Daphnia pulex: one gene and its partner. The protein of the gene in region 1 purifies or fractionates together with the protein of each later gene. This does not show direct contact. Links are inferred from orthologs where the notes say so. Each region holds a gene or a part of one and is shown on either strand. Other genes may lie near its edges.

Region 1 (16,755 bases):
TTTTGAATATTTTCATTGGAAATTCTTTCGAGTTCTTTCTGAACTTTTTCCCTGATGTTCTTCAATTTATTTTCGCCGTCTTCCAACATTTTCCGTGCATATTCAAGCGATTCTTCTGCAGGCTCATGGCGAAAAAACGAATGCCTAATACCCAACTTTGATTTGCCGATGTCGTCCAAATCTTTTCTTTTTTCTTTTACATTTTCTTCCGCTGCTTCAAGTTTCTTCCGTAACTTGTAGATGTTTTCCTGCTGTTTCCTTGTAGTTTCATCTCCAATCTCGTCTGTAATCTCTTTTCTCTTGACGTCCAGGCTTGTCATTAAGGCTTCGATTACTTGTCCAATCAGCTGACTTAATTTGTCAAAAGAATCGCAAACTTCTTTTGAAATTGTCGCTCCGTCGTCAATGTCTTGTTTGATTCTATCCAAGCGTCTGCGAATTGATTTCTTCGTGGCTTTTCTATCGTCATTTTTCAGATATTCCATGTAATTTGCGTAGTAGCGAGGCACCTGTCCCGTCTTCAACTGAATCCTTAACATGTCGATGTGCGCTTTCGTGATGGCTTCAAAGGAATCCGCGTAGATTTGAAATAATGCCATCCGGAAACTCTCCGGATCTTGAATTAAAGGGATCTTCTTTTGGTCGCTCTGGTCGATTTGGAAACTAGGTACTCGATTTCTGGCAATCGACAATTTGCCCATGAAAGCAATGATCTTGGTTGCCGCAGTAATAACTTCACTCCAGTCTGTTACGTCATCGATTTCCCGTTTTCTAAAATCGTCGTTGTCTGCAAAGTTCAATAATGAAATAAAACTAAGAATTATAAGACTTGAACTTTCCTATCCTAATTAATTGATTAAAATATTAGGCTAGTTATTGTTTCTTTTCAACAATAACAATTCAACAATTTAGTTAAGCAATACAATCGTGCAATCTCTCTAAACTCTCGCGCCTCTATTCTCTTTTAAGATTTTGAAATTGTAACTTACCGTTGGTTAGATTAGCAGAGGCCATCTTCTCCTAGACATGGACAAAGAGTGAATAACTTCTACTATTGTTGTTAAGGCTTAACTGCTTGAATACAACTGTACTTATCTTGACGATTATTGTACGACGCTGAATTCTTGTGAATGAGGCTCCCTCTTTTCATCGACGTTTGACAATCACTTCCGTACTCTATTTCTCCGAAACCTTTTCCATAAACCTCTTAAAGTGACCCCCTTCATAAGTCATGCTCAAAATCGCTGCAAAAATAGAAATAAAATTCATGTTGGAGCAGAAATGATTTTATTTTATTTTCAAGGAAAATTCAGAATCATTAAAAATGGAGTTGAACGCACGACGAGACATAAACTAAAAGAAAATCTAAGCGAAAATCTTCTCGTCTTTTCGTCTGCGCTGGACAACAGTTCCGGGTTTGTGTTGAGCGTCTGGATGGTTGGCCAATTCCGGAGGACACGTCGACACGGGACTGGATAGAAGAAGAGCCTTCAAGTCGTAAAAGAGTGGCGAATCATCCTTGGTACAGAAGGAGATGGCTGTTCCATGCTTGCCGGCTCGCCCGGTACGACCGATACGATGCGTGTAATCCTCGATCGTTTTGGCCATGTCGTAGTTGATGACCAACGAGACATCCTTAATGTCGATACCACGGCCGGCAACGTCTGTGGCCACCAGGATATCCTTGGCTCCTGACTTCAAGTTGGAAAGGGCAAATTCACGCTGCTCCTGACCCTTACCACCGTGCAGAGTACAAGCATTGAACTGTCGAAAGAATAAATAAACACCTTAAATGAATTCAACTAGACAAAATTTTTAAATTAAAATGCCTTACGCCAAATTTCTCCAGGCCCTTGGCCAGTACATCTGCTCCCTTCTTTTGGTTGACGAAAATGATGATGGGAGGTTCGAGTTTTCCGCGGCGCAGAATTTCCATCAACTTGTTGCGCTTGGCGTTCTCTTCAACCATGTAGACGATTTGCTCCGTCCGTTCCACAGGTTTGCCGGCCGAGCCGATGTAGACCACAGCCGGACGTCTCAGGTAAGTTCGAGCCAATCGCTCCACCGCCGAAGGCATGGTTGCCGTAAACATAACAGTCTGCAAAAAGGAAATAAAAAATGAGGTAAATAAACCAGTCTGACGTTTAGAATTAACCAAACCAATACCTGTCGGAATTTATTCTTGGAATTGAAATTGGCCATCAGCTTTTGCTCGTCTTCAGCGTCGTCGTTGTCCGGCTTCTGATTTGTGACTGGCATGTGTTCCAGAATCTTTTGCACGTCGGGTTCGAAACCCATGTCAATCATGCGATCAGCTTCGTCCAGCACAATGTACGTGCACTGTGACAGCACCAAGTATCTGTTCTCCAAAACGTCAATCAGACGACCGGGAGTGGCAATCACGATCTGTTAAAAGTAAAAAAGTCAATGAAATGAATAAACTGGGATAGGATAAGAGAAATTACCTCGCAACCCATTCGCAGTCTGAAGCCTTGCTCCTCCCTGGATAGACCACCGATGACGGCAACCGTTCGGATGCCCAAATGCTGACCGAATTTGATGCATTCTTCTTCGATCTGCTGAGCCAACTCACGAGTAGGAGCCAAAATGATGGCGTAGGGTCCCGAATCATCGTCACCCAGGCGGACGTTCTTGGGAAGCGACTGAATCCATACGAGTAAGGGGATTAAGAATGCGGCGGTTTTTCCTGATCCTGTTTCAGCCACACCGATAATATCTCGGTTCTTTAATCCTGAAAAAAATTCACGTGAAATAAGTTTACTTTTTCAAACAGATAAGTAATTATTGGCAACGTACCAATGGGAATGGCTTGACGCTGGATGGGAGTAGGATCAATGTATCCAACTTTTTCGATAATCTCCAAAGTTTCCTTGTTGAGATCAGAATCAGCCCACGAACGGTACGGATTAGGAATTTTGCCACCTTAAAAAAACCAAAAGACATTAAGTTAAACATATTAATTAATCAACAAGTTTAGGTAACATACCTTTAATGGTGATGTTGTAATCTTCTCGGAAGATACGCCAATCACGCTCAGTCATTTCTTCGACCTTTTTCTCTTGCCAGTGACGGTCGTCCCATTTCTGCTTGTCTTCTCGTCTTTGTTCCTTCTTCAAACGGACCTTCTCCTGGGCCTTTTCAGTGTCTGTCCGGCGTTTGTCCAACATGTCACCATAGAATTTCGACTGGTCTTTCTTCTGGGCTTTGATGTCAATTCCGGCCACATGACCACGACCGTAAAATTGGACCTAATCAACAAAATAAAGAAAACGTTAGAATTTCACCTTTTAAAATTTATATCAAGGGTCTTCTTACCTGATGTCTTTCCTTGTAGATTGGGTTGTAGTCGACGGCAGTGTCTTCTGCCGCATCCCATTCGAAAACGAATTTACGTTCGTTCAGCCTGCGGACACGTCGCTTTTTCTTGGCCATGCCCAGGTAACGATCCTTGATGGCATCCATCTCCTTTTGCTTATCGCGGTCTGTTTCACCATCTTTACGATCTTTGGTCTCCTTTTCGCGCTCCCTTTCTCGATCACGTCGACGATCGCGTTCTGGTTCCCTGTTGGTCTCTTTAGCCGCCTAAAATCAATTTTAAAAGATGTCGTGTTAAATCTAAAATAACAAATAATGTAGGATATGAATACAAACCTGAAAAAAGGCATTCCGTTTTGATCTTTCCTCTTCTTGCTGTTTGCGTAGATTTTCAACTTCCTCCTGTCGCTTTCGCATAGCTTCGGCTGCACGTTCTTCTTTCGTGAGAAACTTGGGTTTGCTCTTTTCCTCTTCTTCGGCTTTCTTTTTGGCCAGCAATTCTTCCAGCGACAGGGGCTCCTTTTTAATCGCTTGCTGTTCAGTGTTTTCTTCACTTGCTTCCTGGTCTTTTGCATCTTGTTCGGTTTTCACATCTTTACGATCTCGACGGTCCCTTGGTGACCTAATTAACAAAAACAAATGAATCAATGGACAAATATAATTAAGGTTAATTTCATTACCTGGATCTGGATCTACGTCGTCTTGCTGTTCGATCACGGCTACGAGAGCGACTGCGTGATCTTTTCCTTTCGCGTTCTCTTCTCTCACGATCACGATCTCTGGCAAGATCTTTGTTGTCTCGATTATTGCCACGGTCACGATCTTTGTTGTTATCTCGATCCCTTTCACGATCTTTGTTGTCACGTTCTCGCTCGCGATCTTTGTTTTCTCGCTCTCGATCACCTTCTCTATCTTTATTGCGGCGATCTCGGTCGTCGCGAACGTCTCTTCGATCCTCGTTGACCATTTCTGATTATTCTGTAAATAATCAACAGCTGTTTTAAACAGGTGAAACGAAAAAGATGATAATAAACTGTTAAACTACAGATCCTTAAGTGTCAATCAATTAATTTTCCCTATCTAGTTTGAATATACTACAGCATGTAAAACGAATTTAGTGACAAGAATTTAAAAACTTCAATCAAGTTATTTTCTAAACAAAATAGGCCCCAATGGTTCACAAAGTTGAAGACTATGTTCTAGAAGCTTTTGGCGATTAAATCAAACATGAGGTATTTTAATGTCACCCCAATAGTAAAAACACGTTGCAAGAACATTTATAGTTTTGCTAGTAATTTTTTCACGTCTAATTACCTTTTGTTTTCCTTTAATAATATCCGAAATGAGCTATCACATAAGAAACTTCGCACTTTTTGTCAAGACCACCGCATCATCAATGTGTAGCAGACGACAAAAGCGTTTAAACAACGTCACGATGCCAGACTGGATTAATTCGAAAAAAATACTGCAGCTTATTTTCATTTTGTTGGAAAAATATTTAACGTAGAATTTTTAAAAATTGATAAGAAAAATACATCAGTTATTATCTTGATGAAAATTGGCGGACGTGAAATTGTCGTGCGTGTTGGGAATTTATTGCATCCCAACAGTGATCGACATTATTGCTATTGTTAATTCTGTGTAATTTGTAGGGACCTCAACAGAGGGCCCCAATTTTACCCTCTCTTCCCATTCAATCTATTGTTCCCTACCCTACTCAACCCTAAACCAACTATTGAAATACCAAAATGCTGTATTATACGGCAGTGTGAAATATAAGGACGAACTAGCAACAACAAAGGTGTCATCTCTTATCTCAATCTTGGAAGTTGAACGGTCGACACCGCCAACAAGAGTTCCATTTCCAACATGGTCCTTCGAACTGGAGTTTTCTCCAACCAGTGTTAAGTTAGTTTCGCTCTATCACACTCAAATCTTTCTCTCGTTATCTCCTTTTGCTTAATCATTGCCGCCATTTATCAAAGAAAATTGTGTTTAATTATGGCAGGTCAGTCATTTATTAGAATCTTTTTCTCTCTCTCTGAGTTTAACTTGTTCTCAGGGGTCTAGTAAGCAAATAGATCCCTCTAAACAGTAAATTATTTTTCTTCTCTCTCTTGAATTAAAGCTAAAATATTTCCTCAAAGTTTCTTAAAATTAAAATAGGATTCCTAAATCATTTTTGAAGGGGGATTTCTTTTTTTGTCACGTAAATTATCATCGCCTAAGTTGATTATTCTCTCTTCCCTTTCAACAAATTTTTTTTTTTTGGGGGGATATTGCTTTCCAATATCTAAGATTGGGCAAACTTGGGAACTTCCCTACCTCTTTAACGTGTTCACCTCGTGTGAGCCTTAGGTTAAATTCCCTCTCTATCTCTTGATACGCCTCCCGGCATTGTAAAAACGAATCTCAGCTGATTGGGTTCACTGCCCGTTCTTTAAAAATGGGATAACGCGGGAATCTCTTTCCTTTCAAGAATTTTTTTTTGGGGGGGCTTGCTTCCCTACCTCTTAGATTGGGAAAACGCGGGAACTTCTCTAACCCTTCAATGAGTTCGCCTCGTGTGAGCCCCAGGGTGAAAAGACTTAAATAAATTATCGCTCTCTTTGCTATGGCCTTAGACCATTTCCCGAAAACAAATCTCTCTCATTTTTTGAATTAATTTGCATTGTTTGTTATTCAATCATTTGGGTAAATCTCTCTCTGTCTCAGAAGGCACAACGATCTCTCTAAATACGACAGAAAAATATTCTCTTTTTTGGGGGGCTAGGCCGGTTTCCCCTTTAAACTGGAAAAAACGCGGGAAAATTCTCTACCCTTTCAACGCGTTCGCCTCGTGTGCGCCTTAGGGTGATTAAAACTTGAATTTTTTTTCTCTCTCTCTATTTACAAAGGCCTTCCGCCATTTCGAAACAAATCTCGCGCTCTTACGCTCTTGCATTTTTTGTTTGCTTAAAGGGAAATCTTTCTCTTTTTCTGAGAAGGCACAAAGCGCCCTCTGAGCACAAAATTGGGAATTAGAAACCGCCGTCTTGCGGCAAAAACTCTTTAAATTCTCTTTCCTAAAAATTGTTATTATGCCGTTTGTGGGATTGTAAGGAGCTAGAAAATTACCCTAGCTCCAAAATCATTCAGTTTTTGCAGATATCTTCACATAAAGGAATTCAAAGAAAGTGGAAAAGACAGCAGAATTTAATTCGGCACCACGAATCTCCGAAGACCGAGCAGAACAACAAACAAAAAGGCTAATCAACTTAATCAAAACATTAATTTAAACTAATTATCTTCTTTTCGTACTCTCAGCAGCTCCTTAGGAGCCACCTCCAACTCACAATGGCTCCAAATTACGCAAGAACTTTAATTAAAAAGCATATCACCCGTATCATTAACCTCGTCGAAACGTACAAATCAACAGAAATGACGTTGGAAGCGTTTATCGAAGTCGAAAAATTAGAAAAAAAGCTAGATGGATTCTACAAAACTTATGAGATATTCTCAAAAAGGGTCCAGGCTGAAATGTACAAAGAAGGCGAAGACCAAGAAGAGATCAATGCAGACATCGACACCATGTACCAAACAATGGACGATGTTATTGTCGCCAAAATTCACATCTTAAAGAAAAAACGAAGAGAATGGTTAGACAAACTCGAAAAGGAAGCAGATGACGAAGAATGGGAGAAGGACAGAGAAAGAATGCTCCAAATTCTCCAACATCAGGCAGCAACCCAGGCAGCAAACCAGGCAGCAACCCAAGCACAACTCAATCGGGACATAATCAGTCAGGTGATCGCAGCCATCTCAACAGCCTTTTCAGTGCCCGTCGCTCCAGGAGATGTCAACTTATCACCAACAGCTTCTCAGGAGCCAGCTTCTCAAACAAATCCAGTAATAGAGTCAATTCTCAAAACCCTCTCAACATCTCAATTTGCAGCAGTATTAGTGCCAAACCCAACTCCACTAGAAGTGTCGTCGCTTACGACAACAAGCTGTAGTTTTCAAAACACCCCTTCATACCAGTCAAAAGAAAATATCCAGACGGAAGAAAAAGAGACTGGAACGGCCAGTCTCCCTCACCCACCGAAAAAAGGAGACTCACTCTCGGATTCTCCGGATGGGCCAGACGGATATCCCGACAAAAAAAGGTTTGAAAGGAACGAAATAAAAGAAAATAATTCCTTTGTTTCAAAGTTAGAAAACTCAGCAAATCTGGAAGGAGCAGAAAAAATCCCATCATCGAACGCGAAAAGTTGCTACAGCGACCAAAACGTCAAATCAGCCCAGTCAAAAGAAGTCCCGATGGAAAAGGAGCCTGGAACAGCCAGTCTCCAACAACGACCAAAAAAAGGGCTATCAATCTCAGATATTCCGGTCAAATCCAGTGGAAACAAAGACGAAAAAAGGTTTGAAGACGAGCTGAAAGCAACTAACCTCAAATTTGCAAACTTAGATGGTGTAGATGCAGTGGAGTCCAAAAATCTCTTGAGCTCCTCTAGCAACGAAAAAACTGCTTGCACACTCATTATTCAAGAAGCTCCAGCTACTCCGGCAGAAGCTCCTCGTCCTCTCATTATTCTAGAAGCTCCAGCTACTCCGGCAGAAGCTCCTGGTACTCTCAATCTTCAAAAAGCTCCAGCCAATCCGGCAGAAGCTCCTCACTCTCTTAGTCATCAAGAAACTCCTACTTATCAAGCAGAAGTTCCTGACACATTCAATTGTCTAAAAACTAAAGATTCAATTATTAGGATTCCGCCAGCCGGCTCCAAAGAAAAGGATATTCCTACCTTTCTTTTTTTCCCCTCGGGAAGGCCAGCTGCATCGCTGGAAACACTTAACTCTTTTCCGAGTCAACTTAAACAAACCAACTTCTCTTCTTCTGGAAATTTATCATCGTCGCCAGAAATCCAGGAAGCTTCGAAAGAAAATCCTCAAGAAGCCGCTGCATTTGTCAATTCAACAAACGTAGAAAGCAACCAAGAAATCATTCCGAAGTTCAGATCGCCGTGCAGTCAAGCAGCAATTCTTCCGGAATTGGCCAATCAACAAAACTCAATGAAACGGAAGCGCTTGGAGCCAGTAAAACCAGCTCCTAAACGCATCTCAAGGTTACCAAGTATAGAAGAACATCTCATCAACCAGTTGCTGTTCTCTTATTCGTTAACCCAGGTACCAAACAAAATCGTTTCACATCTACTAAAAAATATTCTTGTGTTAAAGGACATTGAAGAAGATTCCAACACACACCAATCGGTATGGGATCCTGGTGGCAAACTTCCAAAGAGTCAGCCAACTCTCAATCGGAATCAAATGGAATGGACAATTAACTGAATCCGTAGCCAGTCAACGAAACAGCTCCTCTTAATCCAGGCCATCCATCTTCAACCGCATTTTCAGATCTCCAATCCAACGGATATCAAGTCGATCAGGATGTCGAGCCAATTGAACGGGCTCTACTGGGGAGTGTGTTGGGAATTTATTGCATCCCAACAGTGATCGACATTATTGCTATTGTTAATTCTGTGTAATTTGTAGGGACCTCAACAGAGGGCCCCAATTTTACCCTCTCTTCCCATTCAATCTATTGTTCCCTACCCTACTCAACCCTAAACCAACTATTGAAATACCAAAATGCTGTATTATACGGCAGTGTGAAATATAAGGACGAACTAGCAACAACAAAGGTGTCATCTCTTATCTCAATCTTGGAAGTTGAACGGTCGACACCGCCAACAAGAGTTCCATTTCCAACAGTGCGACCGCAAACACGTACAAGGTCAAAACAGACGACGTATCATTGACTTGTCCGTCAAAAAGTTCTAGTCTCAGTCTCTTGTGCTGTAACTACGGGAGAAAAACTAAGATGTTGAGTCCAATAAAAGTACCTACAACGCCATTTGAAGGCCAAAAACCTGGCACTAGCGGCCTAAGAAAAGCGGTTAAAGTATTTTCTCAGCCACATTACACGGAAAATTTTATTCAGTCGTTGTTAACTGGAGGACTTGGTGAGGCTCTAACCGGTTCGACTCTGGTACTTGGTGGAGATGGACGATATTTCTTGCACCAAGCAGTCGAGATCATTGTCCGCATTTGTGCTGCCAATAAGGTACAGATCCTTGTTATTCCGTTTTAAAAATATGGTTCTAATGTGATGTCATTACAGGTATCCAAGCTGATTGTTGGGCAGAACGGAATTCTTTCTACTCCTGCAGTCTCTTGCATGATTCGCAAGTATAAGACCAACGGTGGAATTTTGCTCACTGCCAGTCACAATCCAGGTGGTCCTGATGCCGATTTCGGCATCAAGTTTAACACCTCCAACGGTGGGCCTGCACCTGATGGTGTAACCAACAAAATCTATGAGCTTTCTACTGGAATCAAGGAATATTCTACAGTACCAGACCTGAAATGTGATATTAAGACCATTGGAACTCAGCAATTTGATGTAAGAAAGCTAAAATTAGTGATGTCATTCAAAATTTCATACCATGTTCCACTCTTTGTAGATTGAAGGCCACCCATTTACAGTTGAAGTCGTAGACTCTGTCAACGATTATTTGGAGTTGATGAAAGAAATCTTTGATTTTGGTTCTATCAAAAACCTTATTTGTGGAACAGGTCAAACCCCTCTGAAAGTGTTGATCAATTCAATGCACGGAGGTATTGATCTTTGAAAAAGTCTTTAAATACGACACCATTTGGCTGACCACTGTTTTTTTAGTGACCGGTCCTTATGTCAGCCGCATATTTTGCGAAGAGCTTGGAGCTAGCGCACAAAGTGTCGTAAATGTTATTCCCCTGGAAGATTTTGGAGGACATCATCCTGACCCGAATCTTACTTACGCCGCCGACTTGGTTCAAGCTATGAAAGAAGGCGATTTCGGACTTGGAGCCGCTTTTGATGGAGATGGAGTAATTAACTTTCATTAACTCTTAAACTTAACTCAATATTTCAATGTGTGTATTTAAATGAAGGATCGAAACATGATTTTGGGTGAGAAAGCCTTCTTCGTCACCCCTTCCGACTCTTTAGCAGTCATCGCCAACAATATGGATTGTATTCCTTACTTCCGTAAAACTGGAGTTAGAGGATTTGCCAGAAGCATGCCTACTGGTGCCGCTGTCGATAGGTATTAATTACATTATTGGACCACTGAATTTGTTTTAACTAAATAATTTTTTATTAGGGTTGCCGTCAAATTGCAGAAAAGTATCTACGAAGTCCCCACCGGCTGGAAATACTTTGGCAATCTGATGGATGCCGGACAACTGTCGCTTTGCGGCGAAGAAAGTTTTGGGTAAATTTTAGTACATTCGAATTTTATTTATGAAAATATTTCATATCTGCAATTTTAATAGAACTGGCTCAGATCATATTCGAGAAAAAGATGGAATATGGGCGGTTCTTGCCTGGTTGTCTATTCTGGCCACCAGGAAACAAACAGTCGAACAAATTCTAAAAGACCACTGGACTTTGTACGGGCGAAACTTCTTCACGAGGTGAATTAGAGGTTACGTAACACATTTATGTAACGTTACTTATGACATTGAATTGACCTTTTAGATACGATTACGAAAATTGTGATTCCGAGCCCTGCAACAAAATGATGGCCGACCTTGAGGCACTCATGAACGAACCCTCGTTCATCGGTTCTGTTCACGAATTCGATGGCAAATCTTTTACGGTGGCCCTGGCCGATAACTTTTCTTATACCGATCCCATCGATGGTAGCCTCTCCTCCAAACAGGTACTACAAATGTCTTTAACGGAAATAAAAATGTCAGTATTAATTCATTTTGATCCTAAAGGGATTGCGGATCATTTTCCAAGATGGATCGCGTATTGTCATTCGCCTGAGCGGCACTGGAAGCTCAGGGGCTACTGTCCGCCTTTACATCGATAGCTACGAGTCCGATGCTGATAAATATCTGCTTGACGCCCAGGTATACCATATTGACATTGATTGATGTAACCCTGAAGCTTTTAAAGATAAATGCCGTATTGAATTTAGGTCATGTTGAAACCACTTGTTCAGATCGCGCTTCGAATTTCCAAGTTGCGGGAGCTGACCGGCAGAGACGAGCCCACAGTTATTACGTAATAATAACGCCGTTTTTAATCAACAACTTGCCGAGCAATCGAGCTGCAGTTATTCTTAGTCAGCGCTCTAGTTTTTGTTTGTTTCGTGTTGGATTTTGGGTAAGATATGAATTAATAGTCTATAGAAAGTGTTGTTGTTGTTGTTGAAATTGGAATCTCTCCTGTTATCATTAAAATTTAATATTTGCCGAGTGGCTAGCTGCTTTGTCTAATAAAACAGGCAATCTTTGTGATACTGCGTGAACTGTCTATACTAGTCCCGATGTGATGATAGGGAAAACCTAATTCAGATCATACGTACGTATTTATCTCTCGGCTGAGAGGTAGACCTTCGGTACAAGTTGCACCACGACTGACGCTGAAGCCAATCTACACGCACTGGTACGTATAGGAATTGTTCCCGGCACTTTGCACCTTATCTTTTAACATACGACATTTGTCCTTGAAAAGGAAAAAAAAACTATACTTTGGACAAATCCGTTTTGACACTTATTTGTTTGCACTGAATTATCGCTAGCCTAAATCTATTTCGACCAAGTGTCAACTTATGTCTGGGTCTGTAACAAATTTAGCGTTTTGATTTTTACAAAATGATTGTATTATGTAACTTTGGTAGATTCGATCGTTAAATGCGTTTCAGTTCAATGTTTTCTGGCCAACATCGCAGTTGGGCAGTTACCTATACGTCAACAAAATAAAATTAGCCGAGTCGAAATAATGCCCAGCAGTTGATGGCAGTGAAAGGATCCGCGTGCGGATTGGCCATGGACTGAAGCCCAAGGGCGCCAAATGAGCTTTGAAAAACCGCTTCGCGCTGGTTCGGGATCAGTTTCGCTTATGTACATATCTCCCCCCCTCCACCTTATTGCCTATACCCCCACATTTCCTATGTACACACACACACAACCAGGTCAAAGTCGCCCGTTTCGTCCGCACTGAAAAAGTCGAATGCAAACCTCTCGATTCGCTCATTTCGTTTCGTGCGCTCGTCGTGGTGAGGTGTTACTTGCACAGTCTCCCATAGTGCTGTAACAGTGCCCTGCGGTGTTGTTTCATTTGACTCACGTTGTGTAATAATTGGCCTTAAAGATGCAGAATCTATTGAGAGTGGTGGGTCCTCTGAAAGAATGCATCCGCACCAGCTCGAGAAGTCTTAATACTGCGCAGCGGATTTGCGGAACGCATTTCGACCGCGTCGTGCCCGCTCGGCAGGCATTCAAAAGTCGACATATTGGACCCAATGAAGCCCAGAAGCAACAAATGCTTCAAGTAGTTGGGTGCAAGGTACATTTCACCTATTTTTACAAGTATTGTGTGTGGTGAATGTAATTCTTTGAAATTCGAAACAAGTTTCTATTTTACTAGTAGCCCAAATTTCGTTAGTCTTTTGTTTTTCCTTGTTTTTGTTCTACAGTCGTCTGCTCCATCCGTTTGAAACGTTTTCTTTTTCCATCACATTCGTCCTTCCGCAAATAGCAGTGCCCATACATTTCGTCCTTGAGAATTGTTAGGCCTTCAAAAATAATAGGGAACAGATTTTGTTTAGTCTTGGCATTTGAAAGCCTTGAAACTTGGAATGCGTAGACACTGGACCCGCGGATTAATCCTAAACTTTACAGACGTCTAGCATGTTGTTAAGAATCACGTTGAATCACGTTTAGAACAACACTGATAGGCCAATATTGTGACATATCTGTTTGTTTGATATATATTTTGATCCTCTTATCTATGAAGGTTATTGTATTAATAACTGTTTTGATTGACAACGAACAAATAGGATTTGGACACACTTACCCAGAATGCGCTCCCACAAGGTATTGAGTTGGGAAGGGACCTTAACCTGACAGAACCATTAGGTAACAATAATAAGATTTATACAAAAATGTGTGTTTATGAGTTAACCTTGTGCTAGATGAATACCAGCTGATGGAAAGAGTGCAGGAGTTGGCAAAGCAAAACAAAGTTTGGCGCTCATTCATTGGCATGGGATACTACAATTGCCATGTTCCTCACCCTATTCTACGAAATCTATTTGAAAACCCTGGATGGTAAGTCTCCATTTTACATAACAAACTTTAACTTTTGTTTTCATTCTCTTTGTGGAATGCAGGTATACCCAATATACTCCATACCAGCCAGAAATTGCTCAAGGACGTTTACAGAGCTTGTTCAATTACCAGACTATGATTGCTGATATGACAGGCCTAGATGTGGCTAATGCTTCACTACTCGACGAAGGCACAGCGGCAGCTGAGGCCCTCGCCATGTGTAGCCGGTATGATATAATTCTGACGTCTAATGAAAATCAACAATCATAATATCTGTTTATATTAGATCTAACAAGAGAAAAGTATTTCTAGTCTCGGATAAACTCCATCCACAGACAACTGCCTGCGTTGAGACCCGTTGTTCTGCCATGGGTTTAAAAGTCAAAATCGTCGATTTCAGCACCGTGACTGAAGTTGAAAAAGATATTTCGGCCGTTCTTTTCCAGTATCCCGATACTCATGGCTCGGTTCAAAATTTTCAAAACCTCATCGACAAGACCCACGCCGCAGGGGTAAACGTCATGAATAACAAATCAAATATTCGCTATTTTCTTTAATGTATAATCATATTTATTGCAGGCCCTAGTTTGCTGTGCTACAGATTTAATGGCACTCACAATGATGAAGTCACCAGGAGAAATCGGTGCCGATGTCGCTGTGGGCAACAGCCAGCGCTTTGGTGTTCCTCTCGGTTACGGAGGACCGCATGCGGCCTTCTTTGCCTGCAAAAACAACCTGGTTCGAATTATGCCCGGCCGAATGGTGGGCGTCTCGAGAGACGTCGATGGTAAAGACGCTTACCGCCTAGCCCTGCAGACACGCGAGCAACACATTCGCCGTGATAAAGCCACTAGCAACATTTGTACAGCTCAAGCTTTACTTGCCAACATGGCTGCCATGTAATTTTATTCCCTTTCCATCGGCACGTAGCAGTACAATTGAATTATTCATTTGTTTTCAGGTACGCAGTTTACCATGGTCCTGCCGGCTTGCAAAAGATTGCTCAACGAATTCATCACTCAACTGTTGTCTGTGCCAAAGGTACGGATTTAACAAAGTTGGAAACGAGTCAAAGTGGATCTAAAAAGTGACGTTTCATTGGAACAGGTTTGGAGTCTGGCGGTCACGTAGTGCGGAATAGCCAATTCTTTGATACGCTCAAAATTCAACCGTCTTTACCCGTCCAAGATATTAGAGCACGTGCAGAGGCGCAAGAGATCAATTTGCGCTATTTTCCCGATGGAGATGTACTAATTGTTGAATTATTTATTTCGGTTGATTCAATTAACTTTTAATTATTTTTTTTAGATTGGTATCTCCATTGACGAAACTGTTCGCGAGAAAGATATTAATGATATTTTCGCCATTTTTAATGTCGATGTAACAGCCGAACAAGTAAGACTTGACATATTTATCAGTTAATTGGATGTGAGTATAATGAAATCATTTTTTTCAGGTGTCTCAGCGACCAGATATTCTTTCGTCCAGTTTGGAACAGTCCGAGTGGAAGAGGACCAGCTCTTACTTGACTCAGCCCGTCTTCAACTCACATCACTCAGAGACGCAGATTATGCGCTACATGAAATCCCTGGAAAACAAAGACATTTCATTAGTTCACTCTATGATTGCTTTGGTAATTTGTTTTCTGTTTACAATTGTGTTTCCTCTTATTTATGCATATTCTTATTTTCTTTTAGGGTTCTTGCACGATGAAATTAAACAGTGCCACTGAAATGTTGCCGTCCAGTATGCCTGAATTTGGCAATATCCATCCATTCGCCCCCGTCAGCCAGGTCGGCGGTTATCATCAAATGTTTAAAGAGTTGGAAGCTGATTTGTGCGATATCACTGGCTACGACAATATTTCCTTTCAGTCAAACAGGTAATTCAATCAAAATTACTTTCAATAACTCGTCTTCATTCATTTGAAATTGATTCAAACAGTGGAGCTCAGGGAGAGTACTCAGGACTGCGCGCTATTAAGGCGTACCTGGATTCCATCGATCAAAAACAGCGAAACGTCTGCCTGATTCCCGTGTCCGCCCATGGAACAAATCCAGCTTCGGCTCAAATGGCCGGATTCATGGTCGAACCCATTAATACGGACAAGGCTGGTAGCATTGACTTGGCTCAATTGAAAGCAAAGGTATTTCTACCTGTAGATCTGTAAACTCGATGGAACATTTTTTGACAAAATAATTTTCCAATTCCAGGCCGAAAAGTACAAAGATAGATTGGCCTGCTTGATGATCACATACCCGTCGACCTATGGTGTTTTCGAGGAAAAAATAGTTGAAATTTGTGACGTCATTCATCAACGAGGTGGTCAAGTTTACATGGACGGTGCCAATATGAACGCCCAGGTAGCCCTTTGCCGACCCGGCGACTTTGGCTCGGATGTCTCTCACTTGAACCTTCACAAGACGTTTTGCATCCCGCACGGTGGTGGCGGACCTGGAATGGGACCCATCGGAGTGTAATTAAAATTTTGAGTTTTCCTTGATATCCCCAAGTCATTTCAAATTTAATTTCATCGTGTAGGAAGAAACATTTGGCACCTTTCTTGCCAACACATCCAGTAATTGATCCTCTTAATGGACAGTCTTCCCAGTCGTTTGGTGTTGTCAGTGCAGCTCCGTTTGGTTCACCCCTCATTCTGCCCATCTCTTGGTCTTACATTAAGGTGATTATTCAAGATTACCTTTATTAAAAGGCATTGAATTAAATTTTGTTATTAATTAGATGATGGGTGCCCGAGGTTTGAAAGAAGCTACCCAAGTTGCCATCCTTTCGGCCAACTACATGAGCCGCATTTTGGAGCCCCACTACAAGATCTTGTTTACCAATCAAAGTGGCTGGGTGGCCCACGAATTCATTATTGACGTCAAGGATTTCAAACGAACTGCCAACATCGAAGCTGTCGATATTGCCAAGCGTCTAATGGACTATGGTACGATACCAGCTTGCAAAATCATTTCATCCAGACAACTTATTCTTGTTCGGTTACAGGTTTCCATGCTCCAACGATGAGCTTCCCAGTTGCAGGATCGCTGATGATTGAACCAACTGAATCAGAAGATAAGGACGAGATGGACAGACTTTGCGAAGCTCTCATCCGCATCCGGCATGAAATTCACCAGATTGAAAAGGGTGTAATGGATCCAGTGCGTAATCCTCTTAAAATGAGCCCACACACACAGGAGCAGATCATCAACAGCACATGGGATCGACCCTATTCCCGGGAACTGGCTGCCTTCCCTGCGGTAAATTTCC
Region 2 (16,159 bases), on another chromosome or scaffold:
TCAAATAGGAATCCCCACCCCCGTTAACAAATTCATTTCCAGCTAAGGACGAAGGTCAAGCAACAAGGATTACTTGTCCGGTCCATTCGATTAGCGAATGGAGACCAGCAGGAGATCGTACTACAATCCGAATACTAGGAAAACAATCAAGTGGCTCTTTAATGACTCATAGGAGGAGAAATGCTTTTCGCCTGGTCATATTGAATCACCTATATATGCAACAGCTTCTTAGTTTTTCACCAATTACCAAGTGTCAGTCGTTGAGCAAACAAGTGAAATACTCGAATCGAACAACAGATGATATTTGCTTCATACTTTGTGATTTACCAAAAACTACAAATGCATTCCGAGCCGAGTAAACTTGTTCGCGATTATGGAAGTACCAAATACGTCAGTCTATCGTCCATTGTGTCAACTGTGAATTTCCCCTTGATCAGCTGCACAGTGTGCGGAAGCGAAATCAACATTTTCGACACGAACGATCAAAGTGTTTTCCAGTGCTCAAAGTGCCACGAAGGCATACCCATACGACCCGCTCCGGCCGGAAAGAAATACGTCCGCTGTCCATGCAACTGTCTGATCATCTGCAGGGAATCGGCTCTTAAGATTGTCTGCCCACGATCCAGCTGCAAGAGGACCACTCATCTCGTTACTTTAAAGGCCCACAACGCCATCCCCAGTACGCTCTTCACCTGCGCCTATTGTTCCAACCCATTCCGGACTGACCAGCCAGCAGATCCGGCTGGCGTATTGGTGCGGTGCCCTCATTTTCATTGCAAGAACATGACGTCCATCGGTGGACCCAAACTCGCTAGGAAATGGGCCATCGTTTTCCTGATTTTGAGCACCATGTTTATTGCCCTGGCTGCCGGTGTAGCGTACGGAGCTATCTACGTGGAGCAAACTTCGAAAGGAGTCATGTACGCCGGTTACGTCGGATTGTTTCTCGTCGCCATGATCTTGTTAGTTCGCAGCATTTTCTATTGGACGATGAAAGTCAGCCAAAAACAAGGATCTGCCTAATTTTTAAACATTGTTCGTTTGTTTCAACTGGAAATAAAAATGTTTTTATGATGTGAATCAATTTAAATTTGTCGCAGGGCGCAACTGACGCAAGTCACCATTTTGACACGAACACGGATATGCTAAAAAGAACCTATTAATTATAATTGTCTGCCCTCCCGTATTACTCATGAGAGAAAGAACCGATTGAATTACCGAAGTCGAAGAACTTTGCTTAAATTCAAAGGCAAACTAACCGCTGAAAATGTGCTCGATCTCAACTTTGAGAAAAGTATGATGATGGCAAAAGCGTTGACGCTCTTTTTACCATTGCAGCAAAGTCATCACGAATCACGATATTAAAAAAAAAATAAACTTGTGGAAAATAGTGAACGCAGGTCAAAGAGCTTCTTCTCCGAGTTCACTCTTTCAACAGTTGACCCAGTGGCACTTCAATGAACGCGCTGACCAACTCAAAACGATTTTAAATTGGTAAAGGGTAAGCATAAATACCGTATTATTTGAATAGCAGCCAAGTATTTGCATGTCTAAACGCGGATGTGTCGAACCATCTGGAAGATATCTCCGCCAATAGGCTGCTAGCGTATTTGGAGAACGGCGTAGAATAATCAATGGCATCGGGAACGCAAGCCGCAAAGTGTCACCAAAACATCTGCAAATTCTATGAGAGAAAAGGTAATCCAGTTTTGTTATTTGGTACAATATATTTTTAAAAATTAAATATACTTCTTTTAATTTCGCAAAAAACACGCAAGAATATTAGTAGAAATTGATACATTTCAGATTGAAAAAATTTAATGAAATTTCGTCCATCCGAAAAGACTCGACGCTGCAACAGCCAAATACGATTAATGTTCTTTCCGCTGTTCCCACTGAGAATACTGGCGTTCCAGCTGGACGACAAATTTTGCAGTCTAATAGTCATCGAAAAAAAGCGGGGCCGAGGTTTCAAAATAAAATGGTTGAATGCAGCACTGAACGCAGGAAAGAGTATAAAACGCGCGAACGCAAACTTTTCTCTAGGTTGAGATCAAAACGTTGAATCTGAAATTAGAATTGTTCTTATTTGTTTGCTGAGGCTTGTTTGAAAAAGTGAAACAATTTTTTTTTTCATTACTCCTATAGGAAACAATGGCAACCGCAACCTGGATAACCAACAGCTTTAAAACACGTGATGTAAACGCGCGTTTTATCCTTCTTGCGTTCAGAGCTTCCAGTGAATTTTAACAATCGATAAACGATTGCAAACTACGTGTGACAAAAAAGATAATGTTTCTCTTAGCCAATTAATCAACATTCAAGTTATCTCGCAAGTACCTAAAACAATTATGTCATAACTTTAAGGCTGTTTTAATGGGAGGTTGCTAAACGAATAAACGATTCGAAGTGTAGCGTTACCAACTCGCAATTGCCTCTACAGTAACAACTTCTCCGAATGAGATAAACGATTCGCAAAACCATTCCAAACTTCCGTATTAACACAATATGAAAGTAGTTGCACGAATTATAAACAAAACAATATCTTAATACCTTCATATTTCGACGAATTTTTTCATCTCGGATTCTTGGAAGGACTCTAGCTGATAATGAACGTTAGTACCTCAGAGGTTTTCAGTTGTTTAGAAATGAATTCAATCTTTCGCAATCTCTCAACTGCTGCATTCAGCGTTATCAGTTGTGAAAAAGTTGGCATCTTATAATGAAAATAGGCAGCGAAAAACCAGAGAAAATGTTCACGTTAGAACAACAGAACCAACTGTAGCCACTAGCAGCCGACACAAAAATAAAAACTGACCTTTTATTTAAAAAATAAAAAAAAAAAAATTATTTATTATTACCAAAAATAATTTTTTTTTTATTATTAGAAAAATGATTAGTGAAGAGTGAAGACAAAAGAAAAACCGTTAGAAAAAATAATAAATGATAGCGTTCTATGGCTTCATGGCTTCGCTTTCTTGGCGCCACTGCAATCTCTTCTGCATTGGCCTCTAACCGTCAACTTTTGTTTTTTTAAACAAGCTTTCAGAGTAGCAAGTCAGTTTGCCTACAAGCTGTCAAATCGCTGTATTTAGTCAAACTTCTGAATTACAATCGATTTCGCCTATTTTTCCCGCTTTTGGGCATTGTGCAAATCTCAAAGATGACTTCCAAAATGGATGACTATCAAGTTTTAGAAACGTTAAACGACAGCAAATTTGGTGTACGCCACAAAATATCTCGATCTGACGGTCGCTTGTTTGAACGACGCGAAATAAATTACAAATCTATGGATGATGCACTGAAAGAGGTAATAATTGGTTATCTTTACTTAATTTCTGTGTTTGCTTGCTAACACATAAAAAAAAATTAAGATGGTGATATATGAAATCAACACACTGAAGAAATTAAGGCATCCAAACATTATCCACCACGAAGATGCCATCGTTGAAAGGAGATCTTCTACTCTGTATCTAATAACTGAATGTGGTGGCAGTGACAGTTTGCAGACATTGATTGATTATCACAGAAGGTAATTGAGTAAATATTTTTTTTATAATGTGTGCTTTGCATGCTAATTGCTAAATCATATATCACAGGTCAAAGACATTTATTAAAGAAGATTTGGTTTGGACGGTTTTGTTACAGTTTTCCCAAGCTTTACACTCGCTTTCTCTAGTGCAAGACCCATACAGAAGCCAAATCTTTCACCGCTGCTTGAGGCCATCAAGTGTATACTTCAACTTTCAAACACACAATATCAAGATTGGAGATTTCGGACTTGGTCTCATATCTAAACCCTACTACATGTGCCCTGTGAGTACACACAGTATATGCATTCCATTTTTCTTGCAAGAGCAAATACTCATGATTATTTCTTAACCTATTATTAAGGAGCTACAAAATTTGGGATTGTGCAATGAAAAATCTGATGTTTGGTCGATGGGATGCATCGTCCACGAAATGTGTACATTGAAGACGCCGTTTAGAGTAGAAAACGACTCTAAAAATCAAATCACAGATTGGAAGTACGTTATTCTCTTAACTAGTTACGTTTTCCTACGATCTCTAACCCATTTTACTTTGTTTCGTTTAGATTTGGGAGCATTCCAAAGATTTATTCCCGCGACCTGTTCTCCATTCTACGATTTATTTTGACTCCAGACGAGGAAACGAGGCCTTCTCCTCTCATGGTTCTCCATCACCCAATAATTAAAGCGAGGAAAGGAGGTGGAAAGAGAGTAGACGGAAGGAACGGAGTACTGGAAACTGATTTCCCCCTCTCGTCTAAAGAAAACCTTACCGTCATTGCTGAAGATACATTGGAAGTCTCGATCGCCGACTGCTCCGACCTGTCCCTCAATCAGTACCTATCGATGATGAGTGACCAGGAAGCTTCGGCGACGTACATCGATGACGTGGACATCCAATCCATTGAGAATGGAACAGCCTATCCCAAAGCCACATCAAGCGTTCTCCATGCCAGCCCCATGCCATCTCCTATTACCAAGAACTTCAGTGGATCCATGGGGCGTCCGCGATCGTCAGCCGATAATTCGCAAATGTCTCGAAAAGCCACCGAGTTGTTTCTAACGGAATCGCATTTGCAGCGGTGGGCTAAAATGTTGGAAGAAAAAGAACAGGAGCTGGCCCATAAAGAGAAGCGACTTCACTTGTGGGAGACTCAGATCAGAGAAATGTTGAAGCAATCTGGGCCGCTGAATCAGTCGAATAGCAGCAGTCAGAATTCCTATGCTCAACCACACCTGACCAACGAAAGCAGTGGAGTAGAGACTGACATGGACAGTACAATCAGCGCCTACCCCGGAGATTCCGTTTTGGAGCCGACTACAGTGCGAATGGACCCTTCCAAAATAACGAATCCTTTCACACGGTATCAGGCAGGCCGGCAAGTTCGTTTCCAGCGATCCGACGACGACAGTGGTGGCCAGGCCAGGAGCGAAGCGGCTTCCAAAATGTTTGCCGAACAGCGACTCCACTGGCTTGAGATGAAGAGGAAGAAACATCACCTTGCGCAATCATCACCACCACCACCACCTCTGCCACCTAAAATGAGTGGCCCACCCAAACTCGAAACGGATTACATTTTCATGGAGGAAAAATCCATCCCTATTGCAGCTACGAAAACTCGAACGGGCAAGTCGAGTGAGCCAAGAAACAAATTCGAAATGCCATCACACCTATTGAAAGCCGACAAGGAGAACCACGGCGGGAGTCTGAGATATGACCCGTCCACAAAAGGCCCTCCACTTCCTACCCGTCCAACCAGCATCAAAAATAATGATTCCAAAATTTTATCGAACGAATTGCGAGCTAAGCTCAAGTCGCATAATTTGCCCGGTTTACGTTAAATGAATATATTTCCCCCTTTCTTTTTATTTTAAGGTTATTCAAAACAAGGACAGTTTTCCACCCATTTTAAAGAGGCTGTTTAGTTCCTATCATTTATGTTTATGCATTTACATACTCAATCATTTATATACTAACCTCCTAGCGTTTTGAAATGTTACCTAATAGTTTTTTTTTTCTTTTTTTTTGTCTCCTCTGTCACTTTTAACATAACTGGGCCGGCATGGGCTTTCCCTCCAATGCATTGACAATGTTTTGCGCAGTCATCGTTGCCATAGTAGTTCTCGTTTGTAGTGTCGCGCTTCCAATGTGTGAGATCAGCACTAAGATGATCGAAAAAGGAAAGAAAATTTATAGAGACATTAAGATATTTAGTGTAGCGTTATCAATGGAATAATACACGAATGATTGGCTACCGCAATTTTTGAGTTGTGTCAGTTCATGGTCCACTGGTAAAGGCTCGGGTGTCATCACGTCAAGTCCTGCGGCTGTTATCTGTCCCGTTTTCAGAGCATGCACCAAAGCACTTTGATCCACGACACCTGTCAAGCGTACAAATACATAAGAATTAAAATGACATTGTTTCAAGTACGTTCTCCATTTACGAAACTAATGCAAATAACCTCCTCGGCTGGTGTTTATCAGTACAGCGTTCGATTTCATTGAGGCAAACTGAGCTGGGCCAAACATATTTCTTGTCGTATCGTTCAAAGGGCAGGTAATGATAACCACGTCAGATTCTTTAATAAGATGGTCAAATGTCACGTATTTTCCAGACACCTGAGCAGCTAAATAGATACTAGGATTTAATTTAGATTGAATGAATGAGAGAAAGTGGAGTTCATACCTTCAGGTTTCTCTTGCCTTCCACAGTACATGATCTTTGCTATGTCAAAGGGTAGCAATCGTTTGGCCACAGCCAGACCAATACTACCCAGTCCAACAATTCCTACTTTGGCTCCAACTAGTCCACCTCCACACATCCATAAAGGTCCCCAAGCACTTTTGGCCCACCCACCACTGTTCACATATAAAACAGTCTTCAAAGTAAATTTTGAACAGCAAAGTAAAAAAAAAAATATTTGATTTCAATACTTTATGATTTCATCACGGGCTTCAAACAGCCTCCTTGTAGTGGCTAATGTTAACGCAACAGTTAACTCAGCTGTGGAAGCGGTATGGACGTTGGGGGTATAGCCCACGGATATCTTTCTTTTTTTGATTTCGTTTATGTCCAAATGGTCATAACCGACAGACATTGTTCCTATGACTTTCAGCTGTGGACCTAAATTGAGATATTTAATTATTATGAGCGTTAACAGCATGATTCAATTTCATTACCTGCTCTTTCTAAGACTTCATGGTCTACCTTGTCAGTAATCAAGCAGAAAAGTCCATTCTTTCCAGAAATCTTGTTCAGAAGATCAATTCTGGAAATCGGGGAATGATCTGGCATCAATTCTACTTCACACCTAGCAAGAAATTAAACAACATAAAACATGTGAAATAAACAACCACAAGGGCAATATACTGTAGGTATACTTTTCTTCTAGTATACTGATGGCGCTTTTGAGTATGTCCCCACGAGTGACGAGAACCTTGGGTTTGTTCATTCTTTGACTATCGTAAAACGTGTGACGTGAGTTGGCTTTCAAAACCCAGATATCGACAGCATTTCGTGCAATAGCATAACATCTTGCTAAAATAGCGGAGCATTCGATCGGCATCAGGCTTGATCGACTATTGTTTTCAAACTTTAGGTGTTGCTGCAGAAAAGTAAATTCCAAAGATTTATTCCCGCGACCTGTTCTCCATTCTACGATTTATTTTGACTCCAGACGAGGAAACGAGGCCTTCTCCTCTCATGGTTCTCCATCACTCAATAATTATAGCAAGGAAAGGAGGTGGAAGGAGAGTAGACGACTAAAAAGAGTATTGGAAACTGATTTCCCCATCTCGTCTAAAGAAAACCTTACCGTCATTGCTGAAGATACATTGGAAGTCTCGATCGCCGACTGCTCCGACCTGTCCCTCAATCAGTACCTATCGATGATGAGTGACCAGGAAGCTTCGGCGACTTACATCGATGACGTGGACATCCAATCCATTGAGAATGGAACAGCCTATCCCAAAGCCACATCAAGCGTTCTTCATGCCAGCCCCATGCCATCTCCTATTATCAAGAACGTCATTGAATCCATGGGGCGTCCGCGATCGTCACCGAGTTGTTTCTAAAGGAATCACATCTGCAGCGGTGGGCTAAAATGTTGGAAGAGAAAGAACAGGAGCTGGCTCATAAAGAGAAACGACTTCACTTGTGGGAGACTCAGATCAGAGAAATGTTGAAGCAATCTGAGCCGCTGAATTAATCGAATAGCATCGGTTTACGTTATATGAATATATTTCTCTTATATTCTCTTTTCTTTTAAGGTTATTAAAAACAAGGAAGGTTTTCCACCCTTTTAAGAGAGGCTGTTTGGTTCCTATCATTTATGTTTTTGCATTTACATATTCATTCGTTTATATACTAACCCCGTGGCGTTTTGAAATGTTACCTAATTGTTTTTTTCTGTTACTCCTCTCTCACTTTTGCTTTTAACATAACTGGGCCGGCATGGGTTTTCCCTCCAATGCATTGACAATGTTTTGCGCAGTCATCGTTGCCATAGTAGTTCTCGTTTGTAGTGTCGCGCTTCCAATGTGTGGGATCAGCACTAAGATGATCGAAAAAGAAAAGAAAATTTATAGAGACATTAAGATATTTAGTGGTAGTGTTATCAATGGAATAATACACGAATGATTGGCTACCGCAATTTTTGAGTTGTGTCAGTTCATGGTCCACTGGTAAAGGCTCGGGTGTCATCACGTCAAGTCCTGCGGCTGTTATCTGTCCCGTTTTCAGAGCATGCACCAAAGCACTTTGATCCACGACACCTGTCAAGCGTACAAATACATAAGAATTAAAGATATTGAAATGACATTGTTTCAAGTACGTTCTCCATATACGAAACTAATGCAAATAACCTCCTCGGCTGGTGTTTATCAGTACAGAGTTCGATTTCATTGAGGCAAACTGAGCTGGGCCAAACATATTTCTTGTCGTATCGTTCAAAGGGCAGGTGATGATAACCACGTCAGATTCACTGAGAAGATGGTCAAATGTCACGTATTCTCCAGACACTTGAGCAGCTAAATAGAGATTGGGAGATAAGCGTATTTAAATATTTTCACTTGATTGAATGAATGAGAGAAAGTGGAGTTCATACCTTCAGGTTTCTCTTGCCTTCCACAGTACATGATCTTTGCTATGTCAAAGGGTAGCAATCGTTTGGCCACAGCCAGACCAATACTACCTAGTCCAACAATTCCTACTTTGGCTCCAACTAGTCCACCTCCACACATCCACAAAGGTCCCCAAGCACATTTGGCCCACCCACCACTGTTTACACATAAATAAATCTTTTAAGCAGACTTTGAACAAAGTAAATAAAACTTTTGCTTTCAATACTTTGTGATTTCATCATGGGCTTCAAATAGCCTCCTTGTGGTGGCTAACGTTAACGCAACAGTTAATTCAGCTGTGGCAGCGGTAAGTACGTTGGGGGTATAGCCCACAGATATCTTTCTTTTTTTAATTTCGTTCATGTCCAAATGGTCATAACCGACAGACATTGTCCCAATGACTTTCAGCTGTGGACCTAAACTGAAACATTTACAATATTAGAAGCATTAACTCAATTCAACTTCATTACCTGCTTTTTCTAAGACTTCATGGTCTATCTTATCGGTAAGCAAGCAGAAAAGACCATCCTTTCCAGAAATCTTGTTCAGGATGTCAATTCTGGAAATCGGGGAATGATCTGGCATCAATTCTACTTCACACCTAGCAAGAAATAAACATACAAAATGTAAAATTAACAACCACAATGCCAATATAGGTATACTTTTCTTCTAGTATACTGATGGCGCTTTTGGGTATGTCCCCACGAGTGACGAGAACCTTGGGTTTGTTCATTCTTTGACTTGTAGTCGCAAAACGTCTGACATGAGTTGGTTTTAAAACCCAGCTATCGACAACGTTTCTTGCAATAGATATCTTGTGAAAATAGCGGAGCATTCGGCTTCAGGCTTGATCGACTTGTCAACAGTAAATGACTTGTTGTTGACTTGTTGTTTGACTACTTTTAAATAACTCAAACAGCGATGCCAAATTACTTCGAAAATCAATTACTACGAAATCAACAGATGAATTTTAATATCCCTCCCGCTCAGCCTCAGATTTGCTTGTAATAAAACCCTGCGGACATGGAATTTCATATTTATAGACATTACTATCTGTTGAAAACCCTGCCAGCACAATATTGGCTAAGAGAAAGGAGGTTCACCATTTAAAAAATGATGTTCGTGACTTTGTGGTACACCTTGCCCGAAAGAGGTTATTTTTAAGCAAATTTGAAGTATGCAAATTAAGCAAAAAATGCAAATTTCTAAGTAAAACATGAACATTTTCAGCAAAATATGAAAATAAGTAAGTAAAAAAAAGTACAACTCAAGTTAAGTTTATCGAATTGAATCCAAGTTTACTCGTTTTTCATGACTTTTACAACTTATCGTGGTTAAAGTTGGCCAAAAGTATGCAAATATAATGACGCCAAAAAAGCACGCAAATTATGCCAAAAAATACGCAAATGAAGCAAATATTACGTCGATAAAGCAAAAAGTATGCAAATGAAGCAAAAAAAATTACGCAACCGAAGCAAAAAAAACAAAAAGTATGCTAATTAAGCAGTCCGCAAAAATTAATCCAAAAGTACGCAAATTGTAAGCAAAAGAAATTTTTGCTTAGTACACCCTAAAACCCAATAAGTGGTGAACCCCTGGCTGTCAGCAAAGTTCGACGTGACGTGAATAATGAACGGGAAAAAGACCCTCTCAACATCGTCGTGTAGGCATATAGTCATCATCATTTCAGATTAAAGATATGCAATTCCCGTTACTGCGCAGCTGCTGTGCTGTGCTGTGCTGTGCCGATGGTTAACCCTGCACGCCATTAAGATACTAATAGACCCGGTTTTTTTTCTTATTTTTCGGGAGAAAAGAATCTCATCTCACGGCCGTCCAACTTGGTGGGACGCAAATCGATTTTCATCAAAACTCGGGCTGACGCTCGCGGGGGCTGCTGGTTATTTAGTTATGGGCATATTAACATGTATTGGCATCAGGAGGAACAGCCAAAAAAAATTACAAAAATTGAGAAAAAAGGTTACCAAAAAATAATAAGAAAATGGGCAAATATAATTTTATACAGAAACAGATCTGCAACTCTTGAATCGTGACTAATTCTGCGGAAGAACTCATTCGTATACGTTAAAAATTGTGTTGAGCGAACAGCATCAATATCGAGAGTTCGTGAGAGGTAGTAGTTACGTCGACATGGTATTAATATGCAGGTACGCACCTCGCAACATGGATGATCATACAAAATAATGAATAAAATCACACGCAAAAAAACATTGTCAATTCACATCATCAAAATCAGTCTCCTGAGAGTCAAAAACAAAAATTATTTACGACATTTCATTTTTTTTTTTACTGTATATCGGCTCACACCAAAATGTTTATCCGAGTTATTTTAAAAATCTTTCACACAAGTTTGTCCTGACTTTAAATTATTATTATTATTATTTTCGTATACACGTGTGAGACATTTGTTGAAGTGCAATTGGGAGCACCGAGAGATGGCGTTTCAAGCGCTTTTGTCGACCAGCAGCAATTCGCTGGTTTTATTGGACGTGTCTACCGCGACCACGTCTCGGACCGAGACCGTCGGCGGCTGATGGTCGACCTCGCCGCCGCCGGATGGATTGCGCATCATCCGCTCGTAGTTTTGCGACAAATCGATCGGCGCTGGATGGAAGCCTCCCGTTCCGCTGTCGTCGTCGTCCGTCGTCGACGGCGGTTGCGGGGGCACGACACCGCGGGCCGTTTGGGCGGCCAGGACGTGCTGGCTGAGGGCCAGCTCGGCGGCGGCGGCAGCGGCCGCCGCCGGAGAAGCGGCAAAGTAAAGGCTCAACTCTTCCAGTGTGTTGGGACGGCGGTGGAAGTGGCCGTTGTGGTGGTGGTGCAAGTTGTGGTGCGGATGGACGACATCCATCGAGTCGTCGTCGTCGTTGCCTCCGCCGTTGATCCGCGATCCGGGAGATCCGGCGGATGAGAGATTTCCGCCTTGAGCTAAAGAAACGGCAACGGCGATGGATTGGCGGTACGGACGGCCAGTCACGATTCCCAATTTCTTCACCTGCAGACAACAAAAGGGAAATGACGGAATGTTGGATTTTACACGGGAAATTTCGCAACGATTGTAATCGTAATAAGTTCAGAAGAAACGAACCTTATCGTAAAGAGTGCGGGACGGAACGCCGTAGAGTCGCGATGCCTGCAAGGCACTTTGCCCGCTACGGACGGCCTCGATGGCGGCAGCGATATCGTGACGGGTGTACTGTCGGTAGCGCTTCAATTCCGGCCGGTTGCCATTATTGCTTTTGCCGTTATTGACGTGATACTCGGACAGTGAAGAACTTTGCGCCAAATCTAAATCGAATTTTTTAAAAATTCAATTTAAGTTTAATTTCATTTAGAATGTAATTAAATGCATTACCTTTGACGTGATTGAAGACGGGAGAATGGTTGGATTTGATTCGATCAGTCACCTGTAAAAGCAATCAAATAACAAATTTAATTAATCACGGAAATAAAAATGAAATTTGAATTCATTTGATTCATACCATGGGCTCTTCACGGTCATCTTCAGGCGGATTGGTTTCTGAACTGGACGATCCATCTCTTTCCTTATCTAAACTGCTATTGGTCCTCTGTCAATGAAATTCAATCGATTGAAATTTTTGCTCAAAGAAAATTGTCAAATGTTGAAATGTACCTCGGGAGTTTTGGCAGGTGAACGTTTGAAGAGGGGCATCTGGAGTAGACTGGCCGGAAGGTGTTGAACGACCGGCTGAGGCTGCTGCTGGACAACCGGAGGAGCCGGAGGAATGTGCGAGGCCACCGCCGCTGCAGCCGGCAAAGTGTGAATTTGCGGAAGGAATCCGGAATTGGCGGCGTGACCGGAGGTGGGCTCGAAGCTGAGACCGGACAATCCGGCCGGACTTCCGGCGCTGTCCTCGGAGTAGAGTCCCTTGACTTTGAGCGATTCGGCGGCCTTGAGGAGAGCGCCGACCTGCTCCTGAGCGACGCTCACCTCTCCCCGGTAGATGAACTCGAGAATGGCCTTCAATTCCGCCAGCTGGATGTCTTTGAAGACGACGATGGGATGCTGCTGCGGCGAGCCAAGGTACAGGTTGTCGTTGACGAAGAGCGACTGGAAGTAACCGGAGCAGGCGGCCAAAATGATCCGGTGACACTTGATGGAAGCACCTCCGCACGACAGGGTCACATCCGTCAGCGCTTCCGTCTGCAGTAAATGATCAAATGCTCCTAATAAATTCGAACGGTGCTGATTCCAGCGGAGGCAGTACTGCTGTTGCGGACTTCCACCCATTTCTTTGATCACTTCAACAATTTCAAAATTTCCCCAAATAAAAATTAAAAATGATTCAATCAAACTAAAAAAAAAATAGACTGAGAGAGAGAGAGTCGTGCAGAGAGGTCTCTCTTCGATCGCTTCACTTGTGCAACTGAACGCCAATCAACGGGTGGATGGCTCCTTTTGTAACATCCAACCCGGTGGTGGTGGTGGTGGTGTGGCACAAGTTGGTCCACCCTCCGGCTCACCGGAGGGTTGCTGGATGAGGAGGGCAGAAGATGTTGTAAAAGAAAAAAACTTTCCATGGGCCATAAGGAGGGGACCGAAAAAAAAAGGTTCCAGGTCACAGTATATATGTTTTTTTGGCTGGGAGGGAGGGTGCAATGTCAACCCTCCAATCTTATTTCTTTTTTTTACAATACGACAGCTAAGAAAAAAGTTCTTGTTGGTCGCTTTCTTCTTCTTCGGTTACGTCCGATGGATAAAGAACCTTTTTCTGGTCCTATAGACAGCCCTACATACTGTACCACCAACACAAGTATAATAGCTATTTTTTCGGTGGAAATAAATCAGACGGCAAATGCGCACAGACAGCGCGGTGCTGTACATATAAAGTCGAAATGCGACGTTGTCTACGCGCGATCAATAAATGTGTTGAATTTTTTGATCATCCAAATTCGAACAATTTGGTCGATTGCAATTTTTTTGAGGGGATTTTTGAGTTGTTTTTTTTCACAGGTCAGCGCAACTTTCTCACGGCCTACTTTTCTATTATAAGAGGAAATACAAATTTGATATTGGGTGAAGAGGGGGGAGGAACCCAAGGGGGGTGGATGGAAAGAAGAACGTAATTTAATCTCTATAGAGAGAGAGAGCGGCCAAAAAAAGGCCGACGACGACGATGCACATGTCACCGACGCAATAGGCTAACTACCTGTCGTTAGACATTATAGGCATAGTAGTATATACCTGGCTCCCCCCTTCCCTTAGGGATGAACATATGCCGAATGATGACGCCACAGCCTGTTAAAGTAGGCCAAACTTTATATTGCGGTGGTGGCGGTGCTGTACAGATATTGTGTGTGTGTACTGTCTAGTATACGACGCTGATTTTTATATTCTTTCCCATTTCCTGCTGGCGCCCCTATAGAATAAAAAATAAAATAAAATGGACGTCCTGTGTGACAAAAAATAAACAAAATTGATAAAATAAAAATTTCATTACAAGGTGGGCAATAACAGAATCAAATTCAACCATATAGAAAAACCGGATGGAATAAAATTGCGTCACATTTTTTTTAAAATAAAAATAAAATGGTGGATGGATCTTCATTCCCTTCCCCTCATCCAAAAATAAAAATTTTTCAATGTCAAACATGTCTGCACACTCTAAGGTGATGCAAAGTGCAACTCCGCACACACACACACAAGTGTCGGTGTTTTGCCTTTTTGGGGGTCTTAAAAAATCCGAGTCGATTTCGCCACACGCATAAACATTATTATAGCCCTCCCACCCATTTCGCAAGGTTTGCGCGCGCCCCCCCTATGTGTATTCGCCGTCTTCGGTTCAAAAAGGGAAGCCGCCATCGCGAAACTAACGCCATAGTCTCTTTCGCCATAGTATAAAATTTTATTGCACCTACGATGGACGATGGCGAGTTTGGCGCTCGGCAGCAGACACACCGCCAGCGCTGCTGAGCGAGCTACAAGATTTTTATGAAGATCACCACCGAGCGCGGCCTTTTTTTTTACTTTCATCTTATAACAATTTCGACCATTAAATATAATGTGTGTTGTTGTGGCCTAAATTTTCTGTGTTTTTTTTTTCGTTTCGGCTCTGTGTCGGCCCATCATATAAAACAAGTGACCACCGATTCGATTTTGTTTTGTTTTTTGCGCGTTGGTTTATGTAGAGCCTGGGCGAAAAAATAACAAAAGTAGGGCGATTGGGAAAAGGTAAACAAAATTTCGGGTATGGCGTCATGAATAAAAATTTTTTTTCTTCTTCTTCTCAGATTGAAATTGGATAGTAATGAAGATGATGGGTTCGCCTGTAGAATAGTTGAGCCTGGGGATTGCTGGGGGAATGATTTCCGCCGCTCTTCATTGACGTTGTGGATCACTGTCGGCTCTGCTCAGCAGTCACTCGACTGCACAATTCAATTTGAAATCTACAGACGGCTCTTTTTTCTTATTTTACCTTGTATATATCGAAATACACCGGTGACGTAAGTCTACTCGCAGACTGTATATATACTACGCCGCAGAGTATAATATTCGATCTAAATATTTCAAAACGGCGGGATTTTACACATGAGACTTGCATCGAATGCCGCCAAGCTTTGTGTCAACTCAAACAAGCCACTAAGAATTTATTTAACTAAAAATATAATAACTGCTGAAAAAAAAATTATTATTTACAGAAACAAATAATAACTATTTTTTTGGGTAAAAAAATTGAAAATTAATTGAGAAATAATTTGACCTACAAAAAAATCAATTTTTAAAATTTGAATTAACGGCCCAAAAAAAACATTTGATCCTTAGACCTAGATAAATTTATTATTCAGTCTGCGTGTTAGCCCCCGTAAAAAAACAACGTAGAGAGAAAAAATCAGGTCGTGCCAAAAAACAAAGTCGTTTCGATCAAGGCCGAAAGATGCGCAGACACATCCAATATAAAAAAATCTCCAGTCGGCGAAAACAACAAGGTAAAAAAAAACAAGTTTCACTTTACTTGACAACCTTTTTTTCGCTCTGTGTGTTATTTCTTTTTTTTTCTACCTAGCATCTTATATTGTACTAGTACATCTAGCCTATATATATATCGGTGTCTGTTTGGATTCAGCATCTTGAAACTACCTGGTCGCGCGCGCCATTATTTTATAGCTCAAGTCGCAATAATATTCTTTCTCTCCCAAAGAAAAAGGACCTTTCTCTTTCTCTCTCTCTTTAACGGCCTGCGTATTATTCAATTTTTCAGACAATTTGCTCTCGAAAAATCTTCTCTCCCCTCCTAGCTGCTGCTACTACTCCTACTACTACTACTATAGAGTTGGACATTTTTAACGATTATTGGCTCTTCTCCGTAGAGAGTGGGCGCACGCCCGGCATAGATCTGCGCTGTTTTTTTTTCTTCTTCTTTCAAAAAAGAAAGAAGCGACACCCTCGTACAGATGGCGGAGGTCCCCCCAAAAAAGCCGCTAAAAAATAAAAAAAAGTTGACAACAAAACATAAAACACCATTTT

What was found.
Region 2: the proteins of phosphoglucomutase-1-like (region 1) and glyoxylate reductase/hydroxypyruvate reductase-like fractionate together in Homo sapiens (co-fractionation; 3 studies listed by BioGRID). This does not show direct contact. The link is inferred for Daphnia pulex from reciprocal best matches to the Homo sapiens genes PGM1 and GRHPR.

The regions. Positions count from the first base shown.
Region 1 is NC_060019.1:344,753-361,507, reverse strand, and holds phosphoglucomutase-1-like, read left to right. Parts: upstream 1-9,092; 5' UTR 9,093-9,196; coding exon 9,197-9,439; intron 9,440-9,496; coding exon 9,497-9,778; intron 9,779-9,839; coding exon 9,840-9,993; intron 9,994-10,054; coding exon 10,055-10,245; intron 10,246-10,308; coding exon 10,309-10,463; intron 10,464-10,520; coding exon 10,521-10,631; intron 10,632-10,692; coding exon 10,693-10,833; intron 10,834-10,897; coding exon 10,898-11,081; intron 11,082-11,142; coding exon 11,143-11,277; intron 11,278-11,345; coding exon 11,346-11,435; 3' UTR 11,436-11,667; downstream 11,668-16,755. Other genes in the region: uncharacterized protein LOC124190729, read right to left, coding at 1-787, 990-1,014; probable ATP-dependent RNA helicase DDX23, read right to left, coding at 1,366-1,764, 1,835-2,098, 2,167-2,406, 2,466-2,752, 2,818-2,943, 3,008-3,269, 3,337-3,603, 3,673-3,958 and 1 more; glycine dehydrogenase (decarboxylating), mitochondrial-like, read left to right, coding at 12,524-12,718, 13,212-13,290, 13,347-13,482, 13,545-13,709, 13,769-13,994, 14,062-14,381, 14,444-14,523, 14,590-14,729 and 8 more. UniProt on the Homo sapiens protein: Catalyzes the reversible isomerization of alpha-D-glucose 1-phosphate to alpha-D-glucose 6-phosphate. The mechanism proceeds via the intermediate compound alpha-D-glucose 1,6-bisphosphate.
Region 2 is NC_060026.1:2,642,966-2,659,124, reverse strand, and holds glyoxylate reductase/hydroxypyruvate reductase-like, read right to left. Parts: upstream 7,113-16,159; 5' UTR 7,098-7,112; coding exon 6,913-7,097; intron 6,843-6,912; coding exon 6,712-6,842; intron 6,656-6,711; coding exon 6,466-6,655; intron 6,391-6,465; coding exon 6,218-6,390; intron 6,159-6,217; coding exon 5,994-6,158; intron 5,913-5,993; coding exon 5,787-5,912; exon of another isoform or gene 5,694-5,786; coding exon 5,575-5,693; 3' UTR 5,508-5,574; downstream 1-5,507. Other genes in the region: probable serine/threonine-protein kinase nek2, read left to right, coding at 3,164-3,310, 3,375-3,532, 3,600-3,816, 3,895-4,028, 4,097-5,372; uncharacterized protein LOC124205165, read right to left, coding at 11,117-11,668, 11,762-11,961, 12,029-12,080, 12,156-12,242, 12,308-12,936, 13,880-13,910. UniProt on the Homo sapiens protein: Enzyme with hydroxy-pyruvate reductase, glyoxylate reductase and D-glycerate dehydrogenase enzymatic activities. Reduces hydroxypyruvate to D-glycerate, glyoxylate to glycolate, oxidizes D-glycerate to hydroxypyruvate.